3 linked regions of the Mus musculus genome follow. The protein of the gene in region 3 purifies or fractionates together with the protein of the main gene of each other region. This does not show direct contact. Links are inferred from orthologs where the notes say so. Each region holds a gene or a part of one and is shown on either strand. Other genes may lie near its edges. The genes, in order: Mybbp1a, Ubtf and Sirt7.

Region 1 (7,310 bases), about 48 Mb from region 3:
CCCACCAGAAGCAGCAGGTGCTGGAAGGCAATGGCCCTGGTCTCAGAGGAGCGGGCCTCTAATTCCTTCAGAGTACTCATCATCCTGGGGGGGGGAGAGGGGGGCAGGGGCACATTTGCAGGCACCACTGGCAGACAGACAGGGCACCCTCCTCCACCCCCAGAAATCCCATGCCCTCACTGGTCCCAGGCCTGACGCTGCTGTGTTGTCAAGGATGTCACACTGGTTACATTGCGGTTATGGTTCAACAGCATGTCTGCCAACTGAACCAGGCGGTAAGTCCAAGGCTTCCCATTTTCAGCCAGGTCTGGTGTCTGCCTGAACTTCACACTGAGCGTCTGCAGTAGGCTGGGTAAGAGGGAGGGAGGTTTCACAAGACAGCATTAGCACACCCAACCCCTCCAACTACCCTGGGGTTCAGCCCCCTGCCCCAATCCCAGGCCTGCTGACCTTGTTCACAGTTCAGAAAAAAACAAGTGTCCTCATCTCCTGGGTAGCCCAGACCTACCTGAAGAAGGCACTGACAAAGACCCCACGGTTGCGGTCGTCCAAAGGGAAGGAGAAGTGCTGCTTCGTCTCTGGGATCTGGGGCGTAGCCTTCTTCGTCTTAAAGAAGGCATGGAACAAGCAAAACCTGCGAGCAAATCAGCAGCGGCATGGGGAGACGCCCTTCACTGGACCATGCAAGGGCCACTTCTCTAGTTTGACCCTCTGAACATAAGCAGGCCACCTGAGATCAAGTGGAGGAGCCAGAGCTGCTTGCTACAGAACCCATAGATTGAGTCTGAACCTTTGCTTTCCCTCATCTCTTTCCTCCATAGGAAGCATACCCAGTAGATACCCTATTGCATGCCAGCAACGTAACCTGAAGGCTTCTGGCTCCACGGGAACCAAACAAGGACCAGGCAAGGGACCTAGTTTCGTAGTCATGCCACCCACAGTGTCCCTCACACACCTGGCTATTTGCTCAACCACAGCTTCATCCTTCTCCAGATGCAAATGATCCACAAGGCTGACCAGGCGGTGGATGATCCACTTCCGGAGCCGGAATACAGCTCGCTCAGGCCTGGAAGCAGAGGCCATGTAAGTGACCTCAGAAACAGGGTACCCCTTTGCCCCGGGATCACCCGCACCCTGCCCCGACCTCTTGTCAGGAGAAACAAGGGCACAACCAAGGGCTAACTTTCCTCCTCTCCTGCCTCTAGTTTGAAGCCATGGCACTCAGGCTTTGAGCTCCTCAGAGCTCCTGACACGTGCCACTCACACATTCAACGAGGCGTCCTGAGCTCTCTTCTGGTTGGCAGTGCTGAAGTCAACCAAGGAGTTCAGGTCAGGCTGCAGGAACATGTCCCGCAACCAGGCCACATAGCTCTGCAGGGCTTCAGCATTCAAAAACCGCGTGACACGCCAGAAGGTAGGCATGACAGGGAGACCTTGATTGGTGATGGTTGTAAAGGCCACCATCATAGTCAACTGCCGCTTAGGGTCATCCTGGCACCCCTCTAGGAAGGTACCCACGTATGTACTTATCTCTGGGATGATCTTAAATAGGTTTTGGGGCTGCAAGAGATGAGCATGAGTTTGGGTTATCAGAGTGAAGAGGCAGGCAACCACCTTTGTCTATAGAGACTAAACCCAGGACTTCGCCACTCCAGTCACACAGCAGGGCTGAACCTAACTTTGCCACAACTCCATCAAGGTCTATCCTTGATTCCTTAGTTCATCCCCAGCACAAGAAGGTTCCAATTCTCCCTCAAAGATTGCGGACAAGATTGACTGGCATGAAGGGAACCTAAGCTCAAGTCGTGATAGACCAGTACCTACCCGTGCCATCCTGTGGCTCAAAACCCAAGTGCTTTCTGTATAGCCCCCCACCCCCATCACTGTCTTACAGGTGCTAGGCACAAAATGCAGAACACACTGGGGTCAATAACCACTCCCCTCAATGTGACCCCCCCAGCAGTGTTCCAAATAGATGGCTGGCTGGGCCTGCTGGTAAGTGGGCCCCAGGACAAAAGGGCCTGATTACTGGCCAAGTCCTCCCCTACCAGATCTTCAGAGGAAGAACCCCTGCCCTGGCCCTGCAGGCAGCACTGAACCACATGGGAAGACGACACCTACCTTAGAAATAACCATGTTCTCCCCAAAATGGCGGATCAAGTCTCCTCGCATCACCAACTGCAACTGCTCCTCTGACAGAAGCGGCAGAGACGCACCCAGTAGGCGGAAGCACATGTAGCTAAGGAGAGTTGGGGCAGAGCCTGGTCAGAGGCCCTGTACTTGATCAGGTCCCACCCAGGCTGGAGGAGAGGGAAGACCAGTGTCACACACACCTGGATGTCCAGGACGGATTCTTCAGCAGCCCCTCCTCCAAAACCTTCTTCCAGAACAGTTCGAATCTGCTCTCCTTGAGCGCCAGGCGGAGCAGGTCCAGAGCCACATTAGGCAGCTTGTGCTCCTTCTTGACAGAGTTGGCGGCCACCTTCAGGATGTTCACCAGACTAGAAGGCAGAGGAGATTCAGTAAACGTTACCCGGAGGACTACAGTGCAGGACACCCCCGTGAGAACCCACTCACAATCTCCTCAAACCTGGGAATATTGTCTTCTGAGAACAGGTCAACCGAGCCCATGAGTGACTCGAGCTTTGTCGGCACCCTCTGCTTAGCCAGGAGGAAGAGCTCCAAGTACTTGGGAGAGCGGAGGATCACTTTCATGTTACCCTTGAGGACCTTTGGCAGGATCTCCTGGAACATGGACTCTGGGACCTGGAGTGGGGGCACAGGTGGAAAGGGTGGGTCTTGTTCTACCCATGGGCTTCGGATACACCACTAGTCAGTCAACTTGCCAAGCAGCAGACCCCAGCACTGTATTGATGACTAACTGGCCTGGGGTCTATATTCAAAACTATACCTCTTTTTGTTTTGTAAGAGGGCTAGCCGGTGTCATATACACAGAGCCCTATGTGGGGAGCTGCAACTTAAATTCTGGTCTGTCTCCATTTGTGCCAAAAGGACAAATCAGGGACAAGACAGTGGCAAATGACTCTAGATACAAACAGACCCAGGCTTGACCAAACCAACTATGGCAAATGTACTCAGATTGCCTTCTACATACTCAGGCATTGACAAGCACTGTTCCAGACCCACACTAGCCACACAAAGGCCACCAGAGAGGGTTATGGAGTATCTGAACTGCCTAACTGAGTGGACATGTGCTGAGACCCTGAAAGACAAGGCAGATTTAAGATAGTTGGTGAGAGAGGAATAACAAACAAACAAACAACCTCCTCATACCAGTTGCATGGTCAAACCATCTGTCCTCATCATGTTCCTACCCAAATCTTTTCAACGTTTCCCAAATCAGACGGCATGACTTGTGATTCTCTACCTCAGAGAGGATGTCCACCAGAGCCTTTATTGGCTGTCCCTGTAAGTGGTTGGGGTGTTGGGACAGGATCTTCAGCAATTGCACGGACTTCATCAGGGCCTCTTTGTCCTGGTATCCACAGAGAGCAAAAGGTGAAGAGCAGGGTCTGTTACCATCTGTTCCCCTCCAGCCCTAAACCAGTCCCTGCGCCCCGTGCCAAAAGCTCTTACCTTCACTAGGCGGCCTGACTGAAAGAGGGCTAGCACTCCAAAAAGGTTTGCAAAGAGACTAGGTCTCATCATTGCCTAGAAAAAGATTGAAAACACAGGTGAAGAGGGTCCCTCCCCATAGCTGTTCAGGAGCAGGTTGTCTGTCTGGGAATCTCACGCACCTTGTTCATGGCTTGTAGGCTGTATTTTTCTTGTATCTGATCCAGGATGTCACACAATGGGATGTCTTCAAAAGACTGCAACAGCTACCAGGCAAGACCAGAAAGAGCTCAGGAGTGGCCCAGGGACAACAAACCAGACCAAGTCCATTTCCCTCCTTCAGCTTTCCCCAATATAATCTCCGTGCTCCTCCCATCCCTCACAAGCGCTACTGCTTTCAAGGGACCACATCTTACATGGCTAAGCCCCACCTCCATCAAGGCTTCAGAAGGCCTAGGCTGCTTCTGTACCTCTTGGGAAAACCCATCCCATCCAAAGATCCTGTTCTGAGTTGCCTTGAGGCTGGTTAGTCTTCATTGCTTTTTGCTGTACAAATTTCTACGTGGTCTGTCATCAGTTGCCTTCCTAACCTGGAGGCGGCTCCCCAACCTTGCAGAAATCAACCTCAAAGTTCACTACTTCCAGTAACTGTAGCTAATACTCTGTAGCTGATAAACGTGTATCAGAAAGAAAACGTGTTCAACTCTTCCACCTGCCTGGACTTTGCTGTACATAGGCCATGTTTTGGCACTTCCTCCCACCCAAGTAAGGATGCCTGTATCCCCTCTGAAGCATCTCGGATTTCTTCTTACCCCGCAGCTTCGGTGCCCCCTACCCTTAGACGCCACCTTTGCCCAGCGAGATCGTGCCCTTGCCAGACACACAGTCTCACCTGTGCCAGCGCCAGGCTGTAGCAGGGCCTAGCGGCTTCTCGGCCCACCCCAAGCCCAGTGATTAGGCGCTTCAGGGCATATTTCATCTCCGAATCCTACGGAACCAAGAACATCCCTCGTGTTCAACAGTGATCTGAAGGGCCCACCCCTCCCCCTTGCATCCAGAGCCACGATGGGCCTGGGCCCCTCCATCATACATTGGGCCTTGTGCGCAAGTACTCCAACAACTTCTCCGTGGCCCGGAGCCGCGTTTCCTGATCCGGTTTCGCAATGTCCCAGAAGAAGTCCAAGAACTCGCGGCTGTGCTCCAGCAGGCTGTGGCGGTCGCTTTGCGCCGCTTCTGCGGGAGTCGCAGGCTCAGCTTTCGTGGGGCTCTTCATCTCCGCCATGCTGAGCCAAACACGTGGGCTCAGAAGACAGTCACTTCCAGGTCAGGTCTCGGCGCCTGCGCACTGGGACGTCCGAGTGAGGGCGGGGCCTAGCAGGTTGGAAGTGGCTTCCGTACGGCCTTGCCTTTCCCTTGTGGCTGTGGGTGGAGCAGAGTGTTCTCACACGCGCGTGTGCTCAGAAACTGATGCTTCGATCTCTTCCTTTAACCTGGAGGAGTTCCTGACGACCGGAGGTGCAAACAAATCCACGAAAAAGCCGTAGTATGATCTCTTCCCAGACCCGGGTCTGCTCGCGATCTAGTCCGAGACATCCGCTATTATTCCGCTTTTATTGTGTGCATCCGAACAAAGCCGCGGCTTCTGTGGACTTCCTTTCTAGTGGGAAGAGATGGTTGATGAACGAGTAGACAAATACATTTTAAATGATAGTTATGAGGAAAATAAGGAATGTAGGGAGCAGAGGGAGCCTTTTAAATGTTAAAAAACGTGAAAACATCGCCTGTTAAAAATTAAAGGGAGGGGCTGGAGAGATGGCTCATCGGTTAAGAGCTCTGACTACTCTTCCAGAGGTCCTGAGTTCAGTTCCCAGCAACCACATGGTGGCTCACAACCATCTGTAATGGGATCCAATCCACTCTTCTGGTGTGTCTGAAGACAGATACAGTGTATTCATAAAAATAAACAGCCGGGAGGTGGTGGCACACGCCTTTAATCCCAGCACTTGGGAGGCAGAGACAGGCGGATTTCTGAGTTTGAGGCCAGCCTGGTCTACAAAGTGAGTTCCAGGACAGCCAAGACTATACAGAGAAACCCTGTCTCGAAAAACCAAAAAAAAAAAAAAAACAAAAAACAAAAAAAAAAATAAAATAAAATAAACAACATTTTCTTAAAAAAAAAAAATTAAAGGGAAGCCGGGCATGGTGGTGCACACCTTTGATCCCAGCACTTGGGAGGCAGAGGCAGGTGGATTTCTGAGTTCAAGGCCAGCCTGGTCTACAAAGTGAGTTCCAGGGCAGCCAGGGCTACACAGAGAAACCCTGTCTCGAAAAACCAAACCAAACCAAAACAAAACAAAACAAAAAAAACCAAAAAACCCAAAACCACACACACACACAAAAACAAAACCAAAAAAAAAATTAAAGGGAAAATTCTATAGATTCTAAGATTCTATTTAAGAGACCATGACAAGACTGACATGTGAGCTGACAGCTGAGGGACAAGATGGGCTCTATTGTCCCCAGGGCAAAAATCTAAGAGCAGGCCAAGGACATTTCTTCTACAGAGGCCACTCATCTCTTACGGGAATGAGGTCAGTAAGGTGAGGAGGAGGACTCAGGTGCCAGGAGCAAGGTTATATAGAACCCAGGGCCAGGCTCAAGGGTTCAGAATTTCTTCAGAGAGTGCAGGGAGGATTTACATCTGATTTACAGTTTTAAAAGGTCAACTGTTAGCTGAGAGCAGCCACAGCCCGTGGCTGTGAGTACCGAGGCAGTGAATTATGCTGGAGTAAGGCCTTGGCTAACCTATGGCAAATGTCAACGTAGGCGATGACCTGGGCCAAAGGAGATGATTTGCTAGAAAGGACACCAGGCTAAAAGCTAAAATCGTTGAATAGATGGTGGAATCATTGCGCCTAGCAATGTTTTGTCTGAGAGAGAAGTGGAGATGGTACAATTAAGAGCTCTGCTAGCTTGGGTTTGGGGATATGGTATGGAAATAGAACACCAGCCAAGCACATCAGTGCTCTAAATTTGATCCCCAAGCCAACAAAACAAAACAATTAGCTGACTGTGTTGGTGATCCTGTAATCCCAGTGCCTGGGCCAGACTGGATTACACAGGGAGACTCTGCCTTAAAAAACAAAATTATAGAGACAAGGGATATGGCGTGTTAGTGAAAAGCACTTACTAAACCGGGCGCGGTGGTGCACGCCTTTAATCCCAGCACTCGGGAGGCAGAGGCAGGCAGATTTCTGAGTTTGAGGCCAGCCTGGTCTACAGAGTGAGTTCCAGGACAGCCAGGGCTATACCGAGAAACCGTGTCTGGAAAAAAAACAAAACCAAACAAACAAAAAATCACTTACTACTATTGCAGAGGATCAAGGTTCAGTTCCCAGCACCCATATAGCAGCTCACATCTGTAACCCCAGTTACAGGGGAGCCAAAGCCCTCCTCTGACCTCAGACAGAAGAAGCATGTGGGACATGTGCATATATGCAGTTCACACACACACAGAAGATAAAAGCATCTTTTTTTTTTTTTTGAGACAGGGTTTCTCTGTGTAACTCTGGCTGTCCTGGAACTCACTCTGTAGACCAGGCTGGCCTCGAACTCAGAAATCCACCTGCCTCTGCCTCCCAAGTGCTGGGATTAAAGGCTTGTACCACCACTGCCCGTCTAAAAGTATCATTTTAATTAAAAAAAAAAATTAAACCCTCAAACCCTTAAATAAG
Region 2 (5,688 bases), about 18 Mb from region 3:
CCCTCCGCTCCCCTACCTCCCTCTGCAGGAGATTATGCGGGACTATATCCAGAAGCACCCTGAGCTGAACATCAGTGAGGAAGGCATCACCAAGTCCACCCTCACCAAGGCCGAGCGCCAGCTCAAGGACAAGTTCGATGGGCGACCTACCAAGCCGCCTCCGTGAGCACCGCCCTGGATGGGTGGGCGAGTGGGCCATCAGGGAGTTGTTCGTGAAGAACTTGAACCCAGTCCCGTTTGCTCATGGGTGTGCCTTCCTCCGGATTCAATAGGAACAGCTACTCCCTGTACTGTGCGGAGCTCATGGCCAACATGAAGGATGTGCCCAGCACAGAGCGCATGGTGCTATGCAGCCAGCAATGGAAGCTGCTCTCTCAGAAGGAGAAGGATGCCTATCACAAGAAATGTGACCAGGTGCGCAGGGCAGGTGCCAGGCCACCCCGAGCTCGGGGTCTTGACTTGGGGTTTAGCGCATGAGCTTTGCCTGGGCTCAGTAACTCACTGATTACAGGTGCCTCAGCCACCTGCCTTCAGCCTGGGCCGGGTTTAGCCTCCCCTGTCTGTCAGGCCTCTTGGCTGCCATCTTCAGGGGGTGAGAAGGTTACATACACCCAGTCCCTAGGGGCCTGCTGAGGCTGGCTGGCCCAGGAGAATGGAGGCTGACCCCAACTCACTGAATCCCCTTACTTTCCTAGAAAAAGAAAGATTATGAGGTAGAGCTGCTGCGGTTCCTTGAGGTAAGTAGGCACCACCTTGAGGTGGGCAGAGGGCGCATTCTGGAGTCCGAGGAGCCGGCCTACCTGCCTGCTGCAGCCCCATACCCTTCTTCCTACCTAGAGCTTGCCGGAGGAAGAGCAGCAGCGGGTTCTGGGGGAGGAGAAGATGCTGAACATCAATAAGAAGCAAACCACCAGTCCGGCCTCCAAGAAGCCTTCACAGGAAGGTGGCAAGGTGAGTGTCCCATGCCCGTGGGGGTGGGGGCCAGGATGGAGCCGCTCACAGGAGGAGGCTAGTGGCAATTGTACCTCCGATACTCCCCGTACTTCCCTTAGGGTGGCTCCGAGAAGCCCAAGCGGCCTGTGTCTGCTATGTTCATCTTCTCTGAGGAGAAGCGAAGGCAGCTACAGGAGGAACGACCTGAGCTCTCCGAAAGCGAACTGACCCGCCTTCTGGCCCGCATGTGGAACGACTTGTCCGAGAAGAAGAAGGTCGGGCCTTGGAGAGACCCCCTACTACTCTTCCCTAAGGGTCTCCTGGGCCACTTCCATGCGCGCGGTTACAGCCGCTCCCCGGCACCAGAAGTGAATCACACGTGTACCGTGTACCCGGGCTCAATTGCTGGGGCGGGAGCCGGAAGAAGGGAAGCTTTCAGCTTCCTTGTTGGCTCCCTTGGAGAGCGGCCCCATGGGTGGGGCGGAGCTTGGTGGACGTCACTGCTGCCCACGGCTTCTGCCGGACCCGCCCTCCTCAACAGGGAGCCGGCAACGAATGCTGGGTGGGCTTAGCGCGCCCCCTAGGGGTGGCCCGAATGTTAACATCCTTGCTTTTTCTATAGGCTAAATACAAGGCCCGGGAGGCTGCGCTGAAGGCGCAGTCTGAGAGGAAGCCGGGCGGGGAGCGTGAAGATAGGGGCAAGCTGCCGGAGTCGCCCAAGAGGGCTGAGGAGATCTGGCAGCAGAGTGTCATCGGAGACTATCTGGCCCGCTTCAAGGTAGCGGAGAGTGGGGAAGGATCGGTTTATGGTCTCTAGCAACAGACCCCCTCCCATAACTGATATCCTGGGTTTGTACCTTAGAATGACCGGGTGAAAGCCTTGAAAGCCATGGAGATGACTTGGAACAACATGGAGAAGAAGGAGAAGCTGATGTGGATTAAGAAGGCAGCAGAAGACCAAAAACGATATGAGGTGGGAAGGGGTTGGGCCACCTGCCTCCATGATGGGCCAGGAGGGCCAGCTTTGTTTAAGACCCTGAGCCAGTCTCTTAACTTCCGGCCTGGCATAGGCTAGGTGGGCGTCAAGGTACTAGCCTCTTGGGTGATTTTGGCGGGGGGGGGGGGGGGGGGCGGGACGGGACTACTTCCATTTCAGGGAACATTTTTGAAACGACCCTCTTGGTGCAGTGACTTGTCCAGCAGTTGTTTTGAGAAGAGTCCTGCTATGGATCCCAGCTAGCTACCACTACCAGCTCTAGCTCCTCCTGCCTTAATCTCTGCCGAGTTGAGATCTCCCCCGCCAGTGGGGTGGGGAGTGCGGGTGTGGGTGTGACCTCTCCGTCTCTCTCCACAGAGAGAGTTAAGTGAGATGCGGGCCCCTCCAGCTGCTACAAACTCTTCCAAGAAGATGAAGTTCCAGGGAGAACCCAAGAAACCTCCTATGTAAGCCTGAGGCTGGGACCTATGGTGTAGACAGGGCTTAGAAGGCGGCTCCCTTAGGACCCTGACTGTCCCTGTCACCCCACGCTGCAGGAACGGTTACCAGAAGTTCTCCCAGGAGCTGCTGTCCAATGGGGAGCTAAATCACCTGCCGCTGAAGGAGCGCATGGTGGAGATTGGCAGCCGCTGGCAGCGCATCTCCCAGAGCCAGAAGGAGCACTATAAGAAGCTGGCGGAGGAGCAACAGAGGCAGTACAAGGTGCACTTGGACCTCTGGGTCAAGGTGAGAGAGAGGACAAAGGCACCTTGGAAGGGAGTGCCTGCAGGGACTGGGAAGTCCTGCGGGGCAGTGGGTACTGACATTTTTTAAAGCTAAGCAAGCCAAGGTATCAAGTCATTTGCCAAGGTTACATAGTAGACAGTTTGTGTAGACTGGGTGCTCTTCGTTCAAGCAAGGACCAGGAGACTTGTAGGGCCTGGCTAGGCTGGCAGTCTCCACTGCTGTGCTTGAATGGTCACATTTGTCCAGGGAGAATTACCTGTCACTCAGATAGGCTAACCAAAGACCCAGAGGGATGGCAGGAATTCAGTGTTCAAGAATTTTGTCAGTCTTCGTCGTCATTTCAAAGACTGGGGTCCAGGTGGGGTTGACCTCGTGAGTCATTGGGGGGGGGCATGCTTTGCAGTTAAAGAAGCCCTAGGTACAGGGCTACCATTTGGAAACGGCAGTTGGGGGTAGGGCATTGCTATGAAAACTGACTTGGTTCAGTGTTCAGAATCAGGAGTTATGTTCTGAGCCCCTAAAAGCTTTCTGCAGGGACCCAAAGTTTAGGAGACTGAGTGTAAAGATAAGGTATGTGGGAGCTCTGCCCAGTGGACGTCGGCGTATGCAGCCAGCTGTAGGATGGGGTTGATCTTATTCCCAGTTCTTTCTCCCCAGAGCCTGTCTCCCCAGGACCGCGCAGCATACAAAGAATACATCTCCAATGTAAGCAGGAGCACAAGGCAGTGGAGGGGGAGGCTGGAGGGACTCTGCAGGGGCTGGGACTCACTTCAGCCCCCTTCCCATCCTTTCTGTCAGAAACGTAAGAACATGACCAAGCTCCGAGGCCCAAACCCCAAGTCTAGCCGGACCACCCTGCAGTCCAAGTCGGTAAGGCACCCCTGCAAGGTGGGTGGGTGGCTGGCAAGGTGGGTGTATCTGGCTGCTGATGCGTCTCCACACCTCCCAGGAGTCCGAGGAGGATGACGATGAGGAGGAGGAGGACGACGAGGAGGAGGAGGAAGAGGAAGATGATGAGAACGGTGACTCTTCTGAGGATGGCGGGGACTCTTCTGAGTCCAGCAGTGAAGATGAAAGCGAGGATGGGGATGAGGTGGGCAGGAGGCGTGGTGGGAGGGAGGGTTGTTGTAGATCACCAGGAGGGCCACACACACGGTGACGGTGGGGTCTTTATTCTCCCAGAATGATGATGACGACGACGATGAAGATGACGAAGATGACGACGATGAGGATGAAGACAACGAGTCTGAGGGCAGTAGCTCCAGCTCTTCATCCTCAGGGGACTCTTCGGATTCTGACTCCAACTGAGGCTCAGCCTCCACCCCAGGCAGGCAGGCAGGCAGGCAGCCAAGGAGAGAGCCCCTGCAGAGCTCATCTCCCCAACTGACAACCTTTGACAACCTTTGTCTCTCCCTGTGTTCTGTCCCGTACCCTCCAGACTTCCCCACTTTCTTTCTTTCTTTCTTTTTTGTTTTTTAAATCAGTGGGGGGTAGGAGGCTGCATGAGCCCAAGCTAGGACTCTGCAGCCTTGGAGCCTCAGCTCCAGGGTTCTCCAGGGACAGCAACCATCAGACTGAGCCAGCGCTGGACGGGCCCACCCTGCCCCTCTTCTGCATTTGCAGTTCCGGCATGGACAATGGACTGGGGAGTTTGGGGGTGGGAGAGAGTCTTAAAGAGTTTGGTGAGACCTCCACACCTGCAGCCTGCAGCAAGGTGGATGTTCGGGGGGCCTTTCCTTCCCAGATGGGCTTGCTACCTGGACCCCCCACATTGAACTGGAGGGAGACAAGGGTGCTGCCTTCAAGAAAGCAGGCAGTGGCCCTGTCCCTCTTCCCTGCCCCTGCAGGAAGGAGCTGCCTGGACCCGTTCGTGGGGGAGGGGCAGAGTGTTTTTTTATATATGTGTGTATATATTTTTTTTTTAAGCTCTGAGCTGTCAACGAGACGTTTCCTACCGATCTCGGCTGCCGTCTCTGTTGTCATTTCTGGGACTGGGAGGGCCTGGGATGGGGTGGATTGAGACTTAAAAAAAAAAAAAAGGTCTAGGTATGCATAGAATGTGTGTGAGGCTGTGTGTGTGTGTGTGTGTGTGTGTGTGTGTGTGTGTGTGAGGCTGTGTGTGTGATGTGCACACACGTGAGCGAGCGATACAGCATGACTGCGCCTGTGGATAGGAGAGAGAGAGAAGAGTGTGTGTGTGTGTGTGTGTGTGTGTGTGTGTGTGTGTGTGTGTGTGTCTAGAGCCTGTCTCTTTGAATCTGGAAAAAGGGTCGGTAGAGGCCTGGGAGATGGTGTCCCTAGCAGGAACAAACCAAGGCTGCCCCTCCCTGCCATCTTCCATTGTGGGGTTCAGGGACACCACCTGATGCTTCCTATACTAGTTTGCCCCTGCCAAGGCCATGTCCCTGAGCTGCTGCAGGTCTGTGCTGTCCAGCAGGAAAGTGGGAGGGGCAAACCATGGCATGAGCCTTAAAGCTTTTCTCTGGTGCCCTGGGCTTCAGGAAGTTCTTCCTGCCTTGCCCCGTGTCCTCTGGCCATCCCCATTTCCTTTGAGTTCTCAGGTCTGCTCCCTCTTTCCTGCCGCCACCCCTGTATGCAGAAGATGCTCTCTGCAACTGCTCCTCTAACTGCTTGCCAGCAGTTTGGGACCTTCTGAAGAGGGTCAGTCCCTTGACGGTGAAATCCTAGTCACCTTTACCTGTGGTGATTATCAGTTTTACTATGTTGGCCAGAATTTTTGTTCGTGCTATTGGGTTTTGCTTCTTAAATGAAAGCCAGAGGTGGGAAGTAGGCTCTCCACAGAAAGTAGGCTGCAGCCCAGCTGCCAGTCCCTCTTGAAAGCAAAGACATTTGCCTGGACTGTGTGATGGAGATTCCTAAAGAGAAGATTCCCTCCCACCCCACCCCCTGCCCTCAGCGCGCGCGCACGCACACACACACACACACACACACACACACACTGTCCTTATTCTAAAATTTAGTACCAGGGTTTTAAGTTCCTGAGAGGGCTTGCAGAGAACTCCATCTCCTTG
Region 3 (7,314 bases):
GCCCAGGAGCAATGTCAGGAGCATTTGCTGCGTCATCTCAGACATCAAGGACAGCAGCATGTGGGGCCCAGCCCTTCATAGCCATCTGATGATCCAGTTATGACTCTACAGCAGTAACTCTGCAAACCTGGTGGCTACTAAAGACCAATTGCAGCTCTTAAACGCGGTCTAAGCACCGTTTGAGGTTCCTCGATGTATTGGAATTACCTGCCAGGGCGGGCACTTCTCTGCTCTTAAGCAACAATGTATACAGGGCTTCCCCAGCCAGGATCCAAAGACTCCTGGCTTCTAGATGGTTTTCTTTTTTGTTATTGTTGTTGTTGGTTGGTTGTTTGTCTCTCGTGGAAAATGACTTAACACTCATCTGTCTGTAGAGGTTTTATGTTAAGTTGGAATAAAAACCTCAGAGCCGCAGGATTTAAGTGTGTGGACAGAGCGCTTCCTCCCGGGGCTATTTGCTAAGCATGACCTGCGCTCTAAAATCTGTTCCTTCAGACACTGATGCGCCTGACCAGTTGTCCCCTTCTGTGTTCAAGACAGATGTGGACACAGCTGCTCACTGTTAGAAAGGATCTTGAAGTAGAGTAGGGTTCTCTGTTTGGTATGTGGAAGGGTGAGCTGGTCCAGGCAGGACAAGAAAGTCACTTGGATGGAGGGAAAGAGCCATACTGGGGTGCATCCCACTTGAGAGTCAGGTCAGCAGTGGATGGGACAGACACTGATTTATAGGCATGTCCTCTGTGGGGAATACTGCAGTACCTGTGGTATCTCTTTTTGTCCGAATGTGCAGGCAGCTTCTATCCCAGATTATCGGGGTCCTAATGGAGTATGGACACTGCTTCAGAAAGGAAGGCCTGTGAGGTGAGCATGTCACAGCTTTCTCCCACGATTAGAGGCGAGCTGCGTCATCTGGCCGCCCTCTCACCTCTGTTTTCTCCAACCGTACAGTGCTGCCGACCTAAGCGAAGCGGAGCCTACCCTCACCCACATGAGCATCACCCGTTTGCATGAGCAAAAGCTGGTAAGAAAGCCGGCCATGGTGGCGCACACCTTCACTCCCAGTGCCTGGGAGGCAGAGGCAGGGGGAGTCTCTGGGTTCATGGACAGCCTGGTCAAGAGTGAGTTCCAGGACAGCCATGGCTGCACAGAGAAATTCTGTCTTGGAAAAACAAAACAAAAGAACAAACAAAAACAAAAAGCTGGAAAGAACCCAGAGCTATACCTCAGTGCCCAGGTGGGAAGCCATCCTGCCTCCTAGTCAGCCCTGTGATAGATAAATAGTCTAGTAGCTCGGACATCTGTGTGCTCCCTGCTCTGCTTTCTCTTCAAGAAGAGTAGCTGTAGCCGGGCGTGGTGGCGCACGCCTTTAATCCCAGCACTCGGGAGGCAGAGGCAGGCGGATTTCTGAGATCGAGGCTAGCCTGGTCTACAAAGTGAGTTCCAGGGCAGCCAAGACTACACAGAGAAACCCTGTCTCGGAAAAAAAAAAAAAAAAGGAAGAATAGCTGTGGTATTCAGGTTCCATTCAGGGCCTTTAGACGACAGCCTAGCTTCAGAGGAGACTCAACAGAAACTTCCAGAGATCCGCTGAGCAAGCGGGGAAGCAGATATGCCTGGGATTTGGGGGAAGGGACATGAAAGATGATGGATGACCCAAGAAGTTATCGATCCAAGGTGTGTGTAGTCCTGCCCACCCTATGTGACCAGTGCCCCAAACTGCTGCTCAGCTTGCAGGACCAGGACAGATGCTTGCCCTCCTAGCTGCTCCCAGTACATTAGAGTTAGTAGAAGAGAAAGAACATGGCGCCTTTCTACCTCAGGGCTTTCCTGAGTTGCCTCCTTGTTTTAGGAACCTTGTCCCTTGTCTCTGGGCTTAGAATAACTCCACTGCCGCAGGGTGCTTCCTCCTGCCACCTTACTTACTGCCACCACGTTCTGTCTTCCAGGTGCAACACGTGGTGTCTCAGAACTGTGATGGGCTCCACCTGCGGAGTGGGTTGCCCCGGACCGCCATCTCAGAGCTCCATGGGAATATGTATATTGAAGTGAGCAGTACCGAGGGGGACCCGGGGCCTGGGTGACAGGCAGATCTCACTCACTGTGCCCTCTCTGTCCCAGGTCTGCACCTCCTGCATCCCTAACAGAGAGTATGTACGAGTGTTTGATGTGACTGAGCGTACTGCCCTTCACCGACACCTGACAGGCCGGACCTGCCACAAGTGCGGGACCCAGCTTCGGGATACCATTGTGCACTTTGGGGAGAGGGGGACATTAGGGCAGCCTCTGAACTGGGAGGCAGCGACCGAGGCTGCTAGCAAAGCAGACACAATCCTGTGTTTAGGGTCCAGCTTGAAGGTATGTGCCGACCATACCATGAACTCGTTGTGGATTGAGCATGTTGCTGGCTTGCCTCCCCAGAGCCATCAGCCGTGAGCGGGTGGTAGGTTTGCGTCTTACTCATCCTCCTCTACTCTGTTGTGTCTGCCCGCTGGAACAGGTACTAAAGAAATATCCCCGCCTCTGGTGCATGACGAAGCCTCCAAGCCGTCGACCCAAACTCTACATCGTGAACCTGCAGGTAACAGCGGGTGCTTAGAGCTTCCTCCTCAGACCCGGGGCTCAGATGGGAAGAGCCGGGGAGATCCTGAAAGTCTTGTACAGGTTCCATTGTGTTCCTGGGGAGTGGTGAGCCAGTCTGCCGGGAGGCCCTCATCTGCCTTCCTTGTCTTTAGTGGACCCCGAAGGATGACTGGGCTGCCCTGAAACTCCATGGGAAGTGTGATGATGTCATGCAACTCCTCATGAATGAACTGGGCCTGGAGATTCCTGTCTACAACCGGTGAGTGGGCGCAGCGTGCCCCCTGCATTCCTGCCCCGTCCCTCCCCTCCGTGTGATGGGCCGTGTCTGTCTGCTGTGGGCCTCAGAGGGACTGGCTGAGGCAAGGCTCCACCACACGTGCACACTCTTCCCCCCTGACTGGTACGGTGCCCAGAATCTCTGAGGGGGATCTGCCAGTGTGCTCTACAGGATGCTCCCACAGATGGTGTGCAGCCTGGGTGGACAGCCGAGAGGGGTGAGAACTGCAGCTCTGGTCAGACACAATCTCTGTCCTTGGTGTGGGGATATTTGGGGAAAACTGAAGCAAATTGCCTTGATACAGAATTGTGATAATTTAGACTTGGTGTGTATATTGAGTGAAAAGTTTACACTTTCTTTCTCTGTGAATTTTCAGGGTCTTATAGGGGAAATCAATAACTTCTTTTAATCAAAGGGTTCAAGAAATTAAGGATCCCTTCACCTCTGGGCCTGGCAATTCTTGTATGTTATGTTTGTGGTGTTCTGTGACGTGGGCCTCTCCTGTGCCACATTGTTGATGTTGTTATTGGTTGTTGTTGTTGTTTTTTTTTTTTTTAACATTAACTTAGCTCATTTTTTAATCAGTGCTTACTTTTATCTTACGTTTATAATATGTGGTTCTACATTTCAATCAGACACATGATTTCTTCATGGTGTAGTCTGTAGGCCACACCTCCCCAGTCAACCGGCCTCTTCCCGCCCCCATCCCTGTCACGCAGTCTGGGAAAGGGAAAAGGGTCTGGTCCATCTGCCCCTATCCATACAAGTGAGAGACGGGGCCCAGAGTTGCTAGCAAGTTATCCTTGGAGGTGAGGCCATCCTGTGGCTAGCACTACCCCTTCCTATGTGTGCAGCTCCCACCAACAGTGGGTGAGACAGAAGAGGCTGTCGAGCGAGGGCTGCTGCTGCCCTGAAGACTTTCCCCTGCAGCTTGGTGTCCCCTGCAGCTTGGTGTCACTGACGCTGCTTCCAGCCAAAGCCCAGATTAAGACATAGGTGGGATGGCAGGTGGCCTCAGACAGCTTTCCTGTGCCTGGGAGGGTTGCGATTCGAGGGGTTTTCAGACCTGCCTGATGCTGCTTTTCTTTCTGTTAGGTGGCAGGATCCAATCTTCTCCTTGGCGACCCCCCTCCGTGCTGGTGAAGAAGGCAGCCACAGTAGGAAGTCACTATGCAGAAGCAGAGAAGAAGCCCCACCTGGGGACCAGAGTGACCCCCTTGCCTCAGCTCCCCCTATCCTAGGAGGCTGGTTTGGCAGGGGTTGTGCCAAGCGTGCAAAAAGGAAGAAAGTGGCATAGCCCGGAGTTGACAAAGAACAGTTGGCACTTTGCAGATGGCTTGACCCTTGTTCAGGGGCTCCGCCCGTGTCGCCGTGAAGGCGAGAGTGCCCCCTCCGGCTCTAGTGGGTGCCGGCTTCGCGGTGACGGTCGTCTTTAGCCATTTGTCCTTGTGGAAAGGCTCTCTTGCACTGCTGTGACTGCCCCGCTATGGGCTTGATCTTCAAGGACACCTCCCTCCTGTTCACCCCTGTACAAAGGTGGCAGCAAGGCCTCTGTGAGAAGAGCTCCGGCCCTTCCCAGGCCTGGCCAGCAGGAGAGTCCACCACTGCCTTACCTCACTCTCCAGGCTAGTCTCAGGGCCTCCCTCTTTCTACTCCTTATCACGTACAAGTGTTCACTTTATAGAAGCCTTTTTCTGTATTGGGTATGCGGCACAGGGAGAATCTAACTAAGCCTCCAGTCTGAGCAAGTCTTATTAAACATCTCTCAATTGCTTTGGTGTCCCGATGACTGTCACACGCACCACCGAGGTGCCTGCATCTGAGGGCCTGCATCGAGGCGCTTTTGAAGAACCCAGCCCCTGAAAATGCTTTTGGTTGGTTGGTTTTTTTGAAACAGGGTTTCCGTGTGTAGCCCTGGCTGTCCTGGAACTCATGAGATCCTCCTGCCTCTGCCTCCCAAGTGCTGGGATTAAAGGGGTCGCCACCACTGCCCGGCTCCTAAGAATGCTTAAGGCACGGGGTGAGCTGCACGCACAGTTGTGGTGCTAACCTGCCCCGTTCGTCTGTGGAGAAGTCAAATGCCAAAGCCCGGGCACCTGCAACACAGACCATTGGCCGCTCGATCTGGGCGGAGGGGGGTGTGGCCCGGCTGGGGGCGGGGCCCTGGTTGGCGCACGCCATTGGCTGCGCCAAGCGGGTGAGATCCGCGTGAGCACGCGCAAGCGTCGAGGGCGGGGCGACGGTACTGTGTGTCGCGGGAGCCGCCAGGATTTGCGGGGGGCCTCCGGTGCCATGATCCGGAACGGGCACGGGGCTGCCAGCGCTGCTGGGCTGAAGGGTCCGGGAGATCAGCGCATCGTGCGGGTGTGGTGCGATGGCTGGTGAGTGGGGCGACGAGGGGAGGGCGGTCACCTGGGCGTCACGCACCGGCCGTTGGCGGAACCGGAGTCTTCCGAGGCCGCACGAGGCAACCTGGCCTCCGGTCACTTAGGAGTGTAGCGTACAGACACGGGTGCATCAGACGGTGCGCTCCCCGAAAACCGGAAATGCGGCTGTCTGTTCGCCTTGGGCATTTACCCAAATTACCTGGGCTGGAAGGCTGTGAGCTTCTCTGGCAAATCAGCCCGTGACGTCTCCAAGAAAGTCCTGGAGCTGTCAACAAGCCGAAGAGATAAGATGTTGGCCTTTCTATAACTTACCATCTTCAGCCCTTCGTCGTGCCTACCCCTGGTGGATGAGAGGCATTCGGAATGGTCACCAGGGCTCCTCAGGGCATTCATGGCGGAATAGGCTAGACTTTGTGCGTTTCTTGTTTGTCTTTGGTTGGTTGCTGAGGATGGGAACCATAGCCTTGTGTGCTATATATGTACAGGCAAGTGCTCCATCACTGAATTACAACTTCAGTCCCCTTCTGTTCTTTTGCACCTGAGTCACCAGCTTTGACTTCGTGTCAGTGGACTATGACCTTGGCCCCACCATGGTGCCACAAGCCCAGATGCAGACTCTGACCTTTGATCTAGCCCTGCCTGTCTAGTGGGCACAAGGGCTGTCCTGGAATTTGCCCGTTATCATGTCCCACCTCCCACCCCGTGCACTGTGGTGTTGACATGATGATAGCCCACTAGGGCTCTAGAGGAAGCAGAGCAGAACCTATGGCCCAGCACTGGCCCATGGCAAAGAATACAGGTGGTCCCAGGGATATCCCACTGGGATATCCTCAGTGTCCAGCATATTGCTGGCTTCTGCATAGCTTGACCTTGACAAAGTACTTGTGGCCAGACCTAGATTTGAGGATAAAAGCAGGTGACAGGCACTTGTTCTCTCAGAGAGCTAAGCCAGCCCTGGGGGTGGGGAACTGTCCACTTGTGTCAGGGTGGAAGTATCTGCTCCCAATGCAGGACTGATCTCTTGTTTCCAAGCTTGAGTGTGGCTTGTTGATCCAGGGGGACTATTCTTGTTTAGGGTGCAGGAGGTTCCATATTCAAATCCTAGATAATCTCTTGTATCTTGCGGGCTGGGAGTGTAGCTAGCTCAGCTGGTATTATGCTGGCCCAGCATGCACAAGGTCCTACATTTGTTTTGTAGCACCCAACAGTTGGCTTTGGGTGGGAATCTCAGCAGATGGAGTCAGAAGGGTTGAGAGCTGAAAGTCGCCGGGCGTGGTGGTATACACCTTTAATCCCAGAATTTGGGAGGCAGAGGCAGGCAGATTTCTGAGTTCAAGGTCAGCCTGGTTTACAAAGTAAGTTCCAGGACAGAAAAAAAAGGGTCAAGAGTTGAAGGTCGTCCTAGGTTTTATAGTGAGTTTGAGGCCAGCCTGGGCTACATGAGACCTTATTGTCTTAAAAAAAAAAAAAGAAAAAAAGAAAAAAAGAAAAAGAACTGAAGCAGCTTGAAATGCCTGCCCATAGCAGGAGGCACCAACAGGGCAAAGGCAGTCTAAGACATGGGAAATGGTTAAGCATCTGCCAGTGAACAGCTGTCTTGGGAGTTCACCAGCCAGGCCTTGTACCTGAATTTGCCACTCTTGCTAGACCTGGCACCCAGTCCTGCCCTAGGTCCAGTACTTAGGGTATGGACAACTGAGAACCGACTTCTCTGCTGTAAGCCCAACACCGGGATCTGGGCTAGGAGCCCTGGTGGGGGCCTCTCAGGGAGCCGTGCTGCATCCCACACAAGACCCTCAGTCTCCTGTCTGTCCTCACAGCTATGACATGGTGCATTATGGCCACTCCAACCAGCTACGGCAGGCACGGGCCATGGGGGACTACCTCATCGTGGGTGTGCATACGGATGGTAAGGTGGGGCCCGATGTGCCGGACAGTCCAATGGATTAAGCCTACAGGGCATGGGGTGGGGCAGAGGGGCGGGCAGAATGGTTCCAGCTTCCTTCCCCAGAGCACAGTGGTGACTCAGGGAGCTTAGAGAGTAACATAGCCTGGTACCAGCTATAGAGA

The links.
Region 1: the proteins of Sirt7 (region 3) and Mybbp1a purify together in Homo sapiens (affinity purification with western blotting; 3 studies listed by BioGRID, with this or other methods). This does not show direct contact. The link is inferred for Mus musculus from reciprocal best matches to the Homo sapiens genes SIRT7 and MYBBP1A.
Region 2: the proteins of Sirt7 (region 3) and Ubtf purify together in Homo sapiens (affinity purification with western blotting; 3 studies listed by BioGRID, with this or other methods). This does not show direct contact. The link is inferred for Mus musculus from reciprocal best matches to the Homo sapiens genes SIRT7 and UBTF.

What each region holds. Positions count from the first base shown.
Region 1 is NC_000077.6:72,438,932-72,446,241, reverse strand, and holds the start of Mybbp1a (myb-binding protein 1A), read right to left. Parts: upstream 4,916-7,310; 5' UTR 4,859-4,915; coding exon 4,667-4,858; intron 4,565-4,666; coding exon 4,469-4,564; intron 3,843-4,468; coding exon 3,759-3,842; intron 3,673-3,758; coding exon 3,598-3,672; intron 3,497-3,597; coding exon 3,389-3,496; intron 2,767-3,388; coding exon 2,591-2,766; intron 2,502-2,590; coding exon 2,334-2,501; intron 2,240-2,333; coding exon 2,122-2,239; intron 1,561-2,121; coding exon 1,265-1,560; intron 1,067-1,264; coding exon 956-1,066; intron 635-955; coding exon 509-634; intron 349-508; coding exon 181-348; intron 85-180; coding exon 1-84. UniProt on the Homo sapiens protein: May activate or repress transcription via interactions with sequence specific DNA-binding proteins. Repression may be mediated at least in part by histone deacetylase activity (HDAC activity).
Region 2 is NC_000077.6:102,304,917-102,310,604, reverse strand, and holds part of Ubtf (nucleolar transcription factor 1), read left to right. Parts: intron 1-28; coding exon 29-162; intron 163-272; coding exon 273-414; intron 415-695; coding exon 696-737; intron 738-837; coding exon 838-951; intron 952-1,052; coding exon 1,053-1,208; intron 1,209-1,555; coding exon 1,556-1,711; intron 1,712-1,795; coding exon 1,796-1,906; intron 1,907-2,287; coding exon 2,288-2,376; intron 2,377-2,466; coding exon 2,467-2,656; intron 2,657-3,313; coding exon 3,314-3,361; intron 3,362-3,454; coding exon 3,455-3,526; intron 3,527-3,605; coding exon 3,606-3,749; intron 3,750-3,838; coding exon 3,839-3,964; coding exon of another isoform or gene 3,965-4,043; 3' UTR 4,044-5,688. UniProt on the Homo sapiens protein: Recognizes the ribosomal RNA gene promoter and activates transcription mediated by RNA polymerase I (Pol I) through cooperative interactions with the transcription factor SL1/TIF-IB complex.
Region 3 is NC_000077.6:120,615,688-120,623,001, reverse strand, and holds the end of Sirt7 (NAD-dependent protein deacetylase sirtuin-7), read left to right. Parts: intron 1-790; coding exon 791-861; intron 862-948; coding exon 949-1,021; intron 1,022-1,946; coding exon 1,947-2,045; intron 2,046-2,118; coding exon 2,119-2,355; intron 2,356-2,497; coding exon 2,498-2,578; intron 2,579-2,732; coding exon 2,733-2,839; intron 2,840-3,233; exon of another isoform or gene 3,234-3,711; coding exon of another isoform or gene 3,712-3,853; intron 3,854-3,952; coding exon 3,953-4,154; 3' UTR 4,155-4,631; downstream 4,632-7,314. Other genes in the region: Pcyt2 (ethanolamine-phosphate cytidylyltransferase), read left to right, coding at 5,150-5,238, 7,065-7,153. UniProt on the Homo sapiens protein: NAD-dependent protein-lysine deacylase that can act both as a deacetylase or deacylase (desuccinylase, depropionylase, deglutarylase and dedecanoylase), depending on the context. Specifically mediates deacetylation of histone H3 at 'Lys-18' (H3K18Ac).